Drosophila melanogaster: one gene and its partner. The protein of the gene in region 2 interacts with the protein of the main gene of each other region in a pairwise test. Each region holds a gene or a part of one and is shown on either strand. Other genes may lie near its edges.

The links. The genes of interacting proteins can lie anywhere in the genome.
Region 1: the proteins of CG9130 (region 2) and ppl interact in a two-hybrid assay, tested with the Drosophila melanogaster proteins (one large-scale study listed by BioGRID).

Annotation. Positions count from the first base shown.
Region 1 is NT_037436.4:21,279,991-21,283,334, reverse strand, and holds ppl (pumpless), read left to right. Parts: upstream 1-1,828; 5' UTR 1,829-2,032; coding exon 2,033-2,150; intron 2,151-2,205; coding exon 2,206-2,484; intron 2,485-2,545; coding exon 2,546-2,646; 3' UTR 2,647-2,844; downstream 2,845-3,344. Other genes in the region: CG12974 (uncharacterized protein), read left to right, coding at 1-189, 681-754, 817-1,132. UniProt on the Drosophila melanogaster protein: The glycine cleavage system catalyzes the degradation of glycine. The H protein shuttles the methylamine group of glycine from the P protein to the T protein.
Region 2 is NT_037436.4:1,250,066-1,256,522, reverse strand, and holds CG9130 (uncharacterized protein), read right to left. Parts: upstream 4,512-6,457; 5' UTR 4,357-4,511; coding exon 3,291-4,356; intron 3,220-3,290; coding exon 2,800-3,219; intron 2,671-2,799; exon of another isoform or gene 2,530-2,670; intron 2,448-2,529; coding exon 2,380-2,447; 3' UTR 2,299-2,379; coding exon of another isoform or gene 2,199-2,298; exon of another isoform or gene 2,157-2,198; coding exon of another isoform or gene 1,479-2,156; intron 1,036-1,478; coding exon of another isoform or gene 784-1,035; 3' UTR 537-783; downstream 1-536. Other genes in the region: CG9133 (uncharacterized protein), read right to left, coding at 784-1,035, 1,479-2,125, 2,199-2,298; Bfc (booster for Crq), read right to left, coding at 4,891-5,646; Sac1 phosphatase, read right to left, coding at 6,454-6,457.

The DNA.
Region 1 (3,344 bases), about 20 Mb from region 2:
TATAATGCCAATAGTATCAATGCTGGTGTCATCTATCCCTTGGCTGCCACCTTGATCGCCGGAGGAGTGGCTGCCATTTCCATGATGGTCATCTCCTTCAAGGGATTCGTTCTGTGGTTCATTAACTTTGGACTGCTCGCATACCTTGTCGCGAGAGCCATTCGAATTTCCACCGATAAGGACAATGTGGTAAGTTGTGGTCAGGTCGGCGAGTGAGCTCATCGCCCACCAATGCTGAGTGACTTCTTCGTTGTCTCCGCTGATTCCATAAATTTTCGACACTGCCTTTGAAAATATTCCAACAACGTAGAAGTTAAAAATCGCCGGGCAGCGACTACGACATGGCTAAACTTAGCACTTTGTCGCCATTAACTCAATGTGGTGGTGGTAATTGCTGATAAGCTGGTTTCCAATTTGGCACCAGGTTTGCCTGATAGCGGGCTCTTGGCTTTTCGGTTTGGTTTGACCGAGCACGCTGGAAAATGACGACTTACTGGGCCTTAGGTGCGGGGGTTCTTTGCAAGGACAGTTCGCTTGAACTGAGGTGTTCTTAACTCAGTGTACACTTAAAGTATCCTTAAAAAGCCTCAAATATCTTCCTTAATATAAATTAATTACAAAATCTTGAATGAGCTATAGCTATCTTGCCTAAAATCAAACAAACATGCCCTTTTCCACAGGATACTTTGTTCAATCCTCGCAAGGATTCCAATGATATTCTGACCACCAGGACCCCGATTCGCGCCTACGAGGAGTAAGTATAACGATTCACACATCCTTAATGTCTTGAAAATAATTCTCGATTTGTATGGACAGGGTGGAGGTCCAGGCGTATAACAATGCCGCCTACGTTCCGGAAACCCGTTCCATGGCCGAGACCATCCAGGTGAACGAGGGAGCCATCGTGCGGGCGGCGCACTTGTCGATGGACTCGAACCTAATGGATCGTCGCTTCAGGGACCTCAACGCGTACCAGCAGTACCCGCCTCCGAATCCGCAGCAAAGTCGCCCGCTGAAGCAATCTTCGCAGAATCCCATGGAGACCATTGTGGTGGCCACCTCGGGATTCCCCGTGCCGGACTACTCCCCGCAGCCCAGTCCCAATGGCGTTCTGCGCCACAACCAGTACTAGATTACTAAGCCCCTTGGCGCCCCCAAAAAAGCCCTCTTCGATACTATAATTCTCAAATAATCCCAGCTAAAGTTTAGTTCAAATTTTATCAGGGGGGGCAACTTCTTCTGCGTTTTTATTCTTATTTATTTGCATGTTTATAACGATATAAGTGTACAGCTGTAAATATATAAAGCCGTTCTAGTTCCGCAGTGGAATGGTATTTGTTTATATATGCTAATTTGTTTTTTTTTTTTTTTTTTGTAGAGCTGATAAGGAAATAAATCGGCCCCCAGCAACGATTAATTGGGAGTAGATAAGAAATACAGGAGGAGCATCGACGTGTTGTCGGAAATTAAGATGACTGCTTTAATCTTTAGTCTGATCTCAACATTTAGAAGAGATAAAAGTAAAGCACCTGTTTGAAAAATACATTATGTATGTTTGATTTCTTTACATTTTTTAATATTTCAAATAGAAGCAACCATTTTGACAACTTATGTAATTGAAGTATTTTTGTGGTGCACTATTTTCTAATTAAATCGAAAGTGCGAAAGCTCAAATTTAATTATAAGAAATACAGTCCACCAATAAACTAAATAAATCTTGAAGTTTTCAATCTGCCCGCCGAAATGTTGGGCAGTGCGATAACCGGTAATCTATTATCGCTATCGATATGCATGCCTTACGCCATTTTTAGGCACATTTTGAAGAAGCCGCTGTTTACTCGGGTCAACAAAAGTTCACGAATTATATTCTGGATTGTGATAAGCCGGGCAATATTCGACTTTCATCCCGATTGCCGGGCATTAAACGTAGCGTGTGTGTTTTCAAATCGGATCACTTGTCACCGAAACACCCCCGGGAACGGTTGGAAAATTCATCTCGCCGGCAGTTGCCTTTGTTTTTGACTGGGAAAATATGGTATTCATAACGAAATTCGCAAGGATTGGGCTGCAGGCCGCCCGCCAGCTTAGTGTCACGCCCCTTGGCGCCGTCCAGGCTCGCGCCATTCACCTGACAAGCCTTCTAGCCAAAGGTAAGGCAATTGTTTATGCAATAGCCACTGAATCTCAAACTGTAATCCCCGCCAGAACGCCGATACACAAACAAACACGAGTGGGTGGAGGTGGTATCCGGCAGCAATGCCATAGTAGGCATCTCCAGCTACGCCCAGGAGGCTCTCGGGGATGTGGTGTTCGCCCAACTCCCAGAACCCGGCACGGAACTCAAGCAGGATGACGAATGTGGGGCCCTGGAGAGCGTTAAAGCGGCTAGCGAGGTGTATTCACCCGTTAGTGGCAAGGTAATTGAAAAGAATGCCGAGGTGGAGGACACACCGGCCCTAGTCAACAGCAGTTGCTATGAGAAGGGTAAGATTTGCGTGAAGACCCCTTTTTAACTTCACTTGAAACACGTACTTTTCTTTTACAGGCTGGCTTTTCAAGGTGGACCTGAAGAATCCCAAGGAACTCGAAGCCCTTATGACCGAGGATCAGTACAAAGCCTTCCTGAGCAGCAGTGGGGATCACTAGAACCAGCAGCTAATCCTAACCCTAAAGCATCTTGACTGTAGCCTTTAAAACGAGTAATTGTTAGCATTTGTTATCAGCTGAATAACGCTACACTCATACCCAAATATCACCAACCAAACTCATCGCCATACACACGTTGTTGTAGCTCTTGAAATTTGTTACGAATAAGAATCAACAATAAATCCAAATGTTATATTTAAATTGGGCATCTTGACCTGCGGGTGGCAGACGTCGTCTGCTCCCCCATGGAAACCTTCTAGGTGATAAGACCAAAAGACCGAAGAGAAAACGTGTTGAGAGTTGCTCAAAGATAAGAAGTCACTCAACAGAAGATTAAGAGAGCGGACAAGGCACTCAGTTTCATAATAATACAGATCAGCTTAATACGGCGTGCTTGGCTGGAATTAAGAAAAAACATTTAACACTGTTGCTTGGACACGCGATGGCGCACGCCACGGCACTCAGCCATCACCTGATGGATTCGATGATGGACCGATGACACACCTACCTCTCTGGAAAGTTACGCCGTGCTCTGGCGATAAGGATGTCCAAGTCGCGCCTTGAAAATACATATGCCCGATCAAGTTGATAAGCCTTACAAAAAGCGCCGCCCATGTCTCATTGAACTTGAAGAGCGTGTTCGCGGAAGCTTTTCCATTCGGAAAGCTATGGCAACGGAGGCGAAAAGCTTGGCAGTA
Region 2 (6,457 bases):
GATTTCTCGACTCTTTCCTGCGTTCGCACTCGCCGTGTTAACTTACAGACTAAAGCGTTTGAACGCGACTAAAACGAGTTCCTCGCTCGACTCCTCTCCGAGCCACCGATCGGATCGGTCAGCTGGCCCGATCTGCGATCTCTGGTCTCTCGGATCTCTCCCTCTCCGTATAGTATAGTCACTGCAAAGTGACCAAACCGCTAAGCTGCCGCTGCATCCAACGGCGGCTTTTCCTCCTCCTCGATGCTCCCTCCCGCGAAGATTTCTGGCTTTTAATTACAGGTGTGCAATAGATGAAGATGGTCGGATCGGATCGGATCGGCATCAGAGTTCTGCATCGCGAATTGGTTTTGTCGGCTATTTTTAGACCCGCCTCAATTGCAGATGAAACACCTCCGCGGCCTTGACTGGGCAGTTAAGTGCCCTTAATGAAGATGGGCATATACACTTGCAAGCAGATTACTGCGGGTTAGGGTATCTACATCAGATCAATCAGTGAGGGATCAGATCAACTAATCATAAATGGGACTAGAATTATTGTTTTTTTTTTTCTTAATTTTAATTCAATCAAAAGCATACATTTACGTAACTAGTCGAAAAAGTGAGTGTTCGTGCATCTTACTGGACGGGTTAATATGAATGGGTTAGTACCAGAGCCAAATTTCAATAATTGCTGCTGTGAATTTTCAAAGAGTCGCTTCCAAAATGCCAAAGGATGTGTTCCGAAAGGGTAAGCGTCAAGTCCGGTCGATGGGAATGGGATCCGCCTACGGATCTCTTGGTCTACTTCTTCTTCTTGCCCTTGCCCTTCTTGCCCTTGCCCTTCTTGCCCTTCTTCCCCTTCTTGCCACCGGTTAGCATCTCCTCGGAAACATAGGTCTCCGTGGTCACCTTGCTGATCGGAAGGGTTACGGGCTGCTTGGGCGTCCGCAGCTCGATCTCGATGGTATTCTTCTTGTGCTGCGACTTGGCCTTACTTCCCAGTTTTACTAGGAACACGTCGCTGTCGGTCTCCTCGCAGGTCTTGTAGCAAACCTGAAAAATAAGAAAAGCGACAAATCTTTTTAGATACTATGCAACAGCTAACCAAAATAGTCTCAATGCAACGCGTTGCATCTTTCGCAGAAATTACCATAAATAAAAAAGCTGTAGCGGATTGCCACCGCAAACTGAAAAGAGTGCTCCACACTTGGAGCTGGCAGATGTTACGCAACTGCCCCACAATTGAGGCAATCGAAAGCCTTCCCGAAGTGGCAGAAGTGGCATAGTTGCACCACCTGCAACAACGTTTAGGGGGGCAAAGTCACGGACTACCAATCGATCCACATTCCGCATCCGCACACGTAACTGGCGAACTTAAAAAATGGAATGCGGAGGCGATCGGCGATTGTGGTTAATGATTTAAGATCGAACATTCTTGAAATATGGATTTCCTTAGGCCACTCAGTGCTGCGCAAATGAATATAGGATGGACTCACCTCGATACCCTTGCGCCTTGTGTCCAAATTGACACCCTTCATGGTGTCCATGATGTCCTTCCGCTCGACCTGCATGCAACATGATCGCTGGTTCTGGACGGGACAGTGCGCGGGCACGATGGGATCGGATCCGCCGCAGAGTCGCTGGCGGTAGCAGTCGACCTTGGCCTCCTGGAAGTCGCAGGCCTCCTTGATCTTCGAGAAGGGCACGTAGTAGTTGTCGGTCTCGCAGGCATCGTTCCCAGAGTACTTGATATTGGCTCGCACCTTGGGGATGTTCGGGTGGTTGATGATGCGGCCGCCGGTCCGGCGCTTGATGTGGTTGCGAGCGAAGGAGCTGCGCTGGAGCATATCGTGCAGGCAGGACTCCTTTGCGGGCTCGCAGTCATTGGGGTCATCGCGATAGCAGGGATCATCGCCTGCGCCCAGATTGGGCGCAGTCTCGCTGCCATCCATCACGCTCTCCACCTTGTGGGTGTTCTTGAGTACGCGTATGGTCAGACCGCTGCCATTGAGGCAGGCCTCGAACTCGTCGTACGCCTCCGGACCCGGATCCGGCTTGGTCGGCTGGATGAAGCAGGGAGCCAACTCCGGACTGCAGTCGCAATCGCAGGCGCACTGACAGCAGCCATCACAGTCGTCCACATCTGAGGATACCAATTGGAAGGGATGAATCATCCTTAAGCCCGAGCTTCGGTGCAGGGATCCGCGTGTACTTACTCTCGTTCATGGGCTTGAGCATCTCATTGGTGATCTTGAACTTGCAGTCGACCTTTGGCTTCTTGCCCTTCTTGCCCTTTCTTCCCCTCTTCTTGGCCATGTTGTGCGGTTGAGTGATTGAGTGTGTAAGTCAATACAATTATTCACTAGGCTCAAGCTGAAATCTCAATTCCGAAAGCCTTCAATTCTCAATTTGGATATTGTACTTCACCAGTAAGTGGCGCAATTTCCGCACAGCTCGTTTTCGCGCTGAAATGAAAATTGAATTTGGGTTAGTGGATCGCTTCGAAAATTTTTTAACTTGATAGGAAAAAAAATAGTTCGGACGTACTGATTCTCTGTTTTAATTTCCATCCAAAACTCGGGTAACAACAACGAAAGATTTTATTTTTCTGTATTTTGTGCGGCAGACAACATTTCCCGTTCGAATGTATAAAACAAATGCTAAACGAGTGATCTTCTACACCCCGACTACTAGATGTTACTAAATGTTTCGCTGGAGTTACGAGACGTTTGTGTTGTTGTTCATTTCGAAGCCTACTTGGCATTCTCGAAATCCCAGTTGAAATCGTTTTCTAAATACATACATATATGAGCTCACCTTCATCACAGGCCATTTCGTACTCCTCCTCCCGTCCGTTGCACCTGACAGTGGGCTCCTTGTACCGAATTTTCTTGGTCGCCTGGAGGACTCCTGCGCAGACAGGATCGCAGTCTTCGTAGACGGCGGACGGACTATTCTCGTCTCCTACGCGGCAAACAGCACCTCCAGCCTGACGCTTCTTCTTGCCCTTGTCGTCCTTGCCACCCTTTCCATCCTTTGCGTCCTTTCCATCCTTGCCACCCTTTTTGCCATCCTTGTCCTTCTTGGGATCCTTTTCCGGTTTGTTCAAGAGCTCGGCCTGCATCTTCTCCTGGATGAAGCGTGGGTACGGTGGAATTCCGCCGCAGGGACCGCATTTCTGCAGCTTTTGTTCGATCGGCGAGAGATTGCAACGCTTTGTGGGAACAGTGGGGCATTCTGGGAAGAAGTATATACATTACATCATTAAAAGGAAGCATTTATATATGCTGATGATAGATTATAGTCACCTCTATCGAACTCGTCCTCGCAGTAGTCACAGGGACAGAGCTTGTCCAGATTGCACGAGTAGTACCTGAGGCACTTTGCCGGAGGCTCAACTCGCTTGGCACAAGGATCCACCATTGTACAGCGACGACAAGGAGGCTGGGCACACGAGCCCTTGCAGCCCTTCTTATCCATGGGCCCGCCGGTGGCAGTTCCGCCGCCACAGCAGGGACTGCAGGGATCGCACGGATCGCAGGGGTCGCAGGGTGGAGGACATGGTGGGCCACAGCTAGGAGGCGGTGGGCACGAGCCGCAGCTGGGAGGTGGTGGGCAGGGGCCGCAGGGACCACAGGGGCCACAAGGACCGCAGCAGGGCTCCGGGCACTTGGGATTGCGGGAGCAGACCTTGCTGAAGGGGAACGTGGACACAATGGTCGGACCATTGCACACCAATCTAAGGATCAGCACTATGTTGCCAGTCTGCATCTTGCAGAGATTGAAGAGGGGCAGCAGTCGCTTGGACAACTCCGATGTGGGACACCACTGCTCGTGACGTTCGTTCAGCTTCTCGTAGCAGGCACAGTTGTCCAGGAGGCCCTTGCTGGTGGGACCCTTCATCTTGGGCAGCTGGGCGATGTGCCCCAGCATGGCGTCTTCCCAGTCAGGATTCTCGATGTCAAAGGACTCCTTCACCCTGTCGAAGATGGGCTTCACCTTTAGCTCCGACAGTCCTATCAGGAACTTGCAGCTCTCCGTGCGCTTCTTATAGACATGCACCTGCAGCACATCCTTGTCCGTAATGGGGGAGTCCAGAGTGAAGAGGGCGCACTTGCCGCACTTGGGCGAACAGGGGTTAACACACGTGCCCACCTCCCGATCGCAGAGATTCACGTAAACCGACGAGCGGAACGTGATCTCTGTGCAGGTTGGATACTCCTCCGGAGCGCAAAGATTCTGGCGTGTGATCAGCAGATCGTCCACTACGAACTCGAACATGTAGAGGAAGTTTCCTGCAATCTTGGGAGGTTTCTCTGGCTTCTCAGACTTATCGGATTTCTCAGTTTTCTCAGTTTTATCAGACTTGTCCATTTTCAAAGGAAATAATTTTGGCTAGGCTTTTGTTTTGTCGAAACTAGAAATTTATATGCCCGAACACTCGCACTTCCAAAAATTTTGTGAGTAAATTTGAATTTAGATTCTGATTTTGAATGGCCGTCCAGACGGGGAGACTGTGGTGTTCGAACTGCTAAACCGACTGGATTTGCGAGGGCTACTGGAATCGGATGAATTTTGAAAACTTGATTCCTTGATTTTCGATATTAAGATTGTCTTTTAGGCAGATGAGTCTGTCTGTATGTAGATTTTATTACGCCTAAAATGCCTAGTAAGGTCTTATTTCTAACATATATATAAATTTTAATATTAAATTATATTATAATGGACAATAGCCTCCTCAAGTCACTGAAACACCAGAATTGGTATAAAAATTATTCAAATACTTTATTTATAGTTAAGATATGCGAATGATTATCAGTTGCTAGGCGCATCCCTTGTCAAACAATAAAAATGCTTATGGCAACTAAATGAGTACGGAATATAAAGGCTCGCAGCTGCATTTCCTACTCATGTCTTCTTGGCTGGCACGGTCTTGCAAGGATCGCAGGGATCGAATGGCGACGAACAGGGAGCAGGCCAAGTGGGCGGGCAAGGACAGCAACAGTTGCAGGGATCCTTGCACACTGGTCTCTGGACGGGGAAGGAGGATACCACAGAGGGCCCATTGCACACCAGTCTCAGGATCAGCACTATATTGCCCGTCTGCATTTTGCAGAGGTTGAAGAGCGGCAGCATCCGCTTGGTCAGCTCTGAGGTGGGACACCACTGTTCGCGCCGCTCCCTATTCCTCTCGTAGCACACACAGTCATTGGCCTTCTTGCAGGGGCCCCTCAGCTTGGGCATTCGCGACAAATGGGACTCGACGTTACTCTCCCAGTTTATGTTCTGTGAATAGAACTCCTTCTTCACCCTATCGAAGATCGGCTTCATCGGCAGCTCGGTCAGCCCGAGCAGGAACTTGCAGCTCTCCGTGCGCTTCTTGTAAACGTGAATGTGCATCACGTCCTCGTCCGTGATCGGCGATTCCAGCGTGAAGAGGGTGCACTTGCCGCACTTGGGCGAACAGGGGTTGACACAGCTTCCGTTCTCCCGATCGCGGATGTTCAGGAAAACCGAACGGAACGTGATCTCCGTGCAAGTGGGATACTCCTCCGGAGCGCAGAGGTTGGGACGAGTGATCAGCAGATCGTCCACCATGAACTCCAACATATACAGGAAGTTATCAGCAAGATTAGAGCGTTTCTCCGACTTGTCCATTCTCATATAAAAGCTTAAAAACTAGAAATTTGACAAAATTACTATACCAAAGAATTTGTTATGTGTTGAAAACGTTTTTAGAAATTTTCAGTCACTGAAACCTAATTTTGACGAAAAATAAATATGTTGAATTTTGAATTCAGATTTTGACGACGTGCCGAAAAGGAAAGACTGATTTTCGAAATGGATCTATGCGACTGAATGTAAAAGGCCTGCCTACGATTCAAAATATATAAATAAAAAGCTAAGAGCTCTGCATTCCTACTAAAATATCAACAATGACATTCTTTATATGATTAACACCCTCTGGGTAACCTGTACTCTTAACCTTTACTGGCCATCTTTTATGGTTGTCATAAACGCCATATACCCATATCATTAATTACATTTCACCTCCACAAGTAGATAGAAAGACGCCGGTCTGAGGTTTTCTAGCAATGCGTAAAATACTTTATTTAATGTCATTAAATGGTTCTACAAAAGTGATTGATCTACATTGCAGTTAATCGCAGTTAATAAGCGGCGCCTTCACAACTCCACTTCTTCCCGATCGAAACCCCAATCATTCCCCTTTTCCAGCCGCCTGAAGCTCGCCTAAGTGTAAGTGATCTGTGTATATAATGACTAACAAGTTGCAGAAGGGAATGGACTGGGGGGGGCTTTAAGACTAAACAAAAACAGAATAAAACAAAACAGAAATTGAGAGGAAGTCGAATCGATTACAGAATTGGTTTACAATTGTTCTTTCTCGGAGCAATGGGACAGTTTAGCTGCAGAGGTAGTTCCCAGTGACTCTGCTAGACGACACTAACGTCAT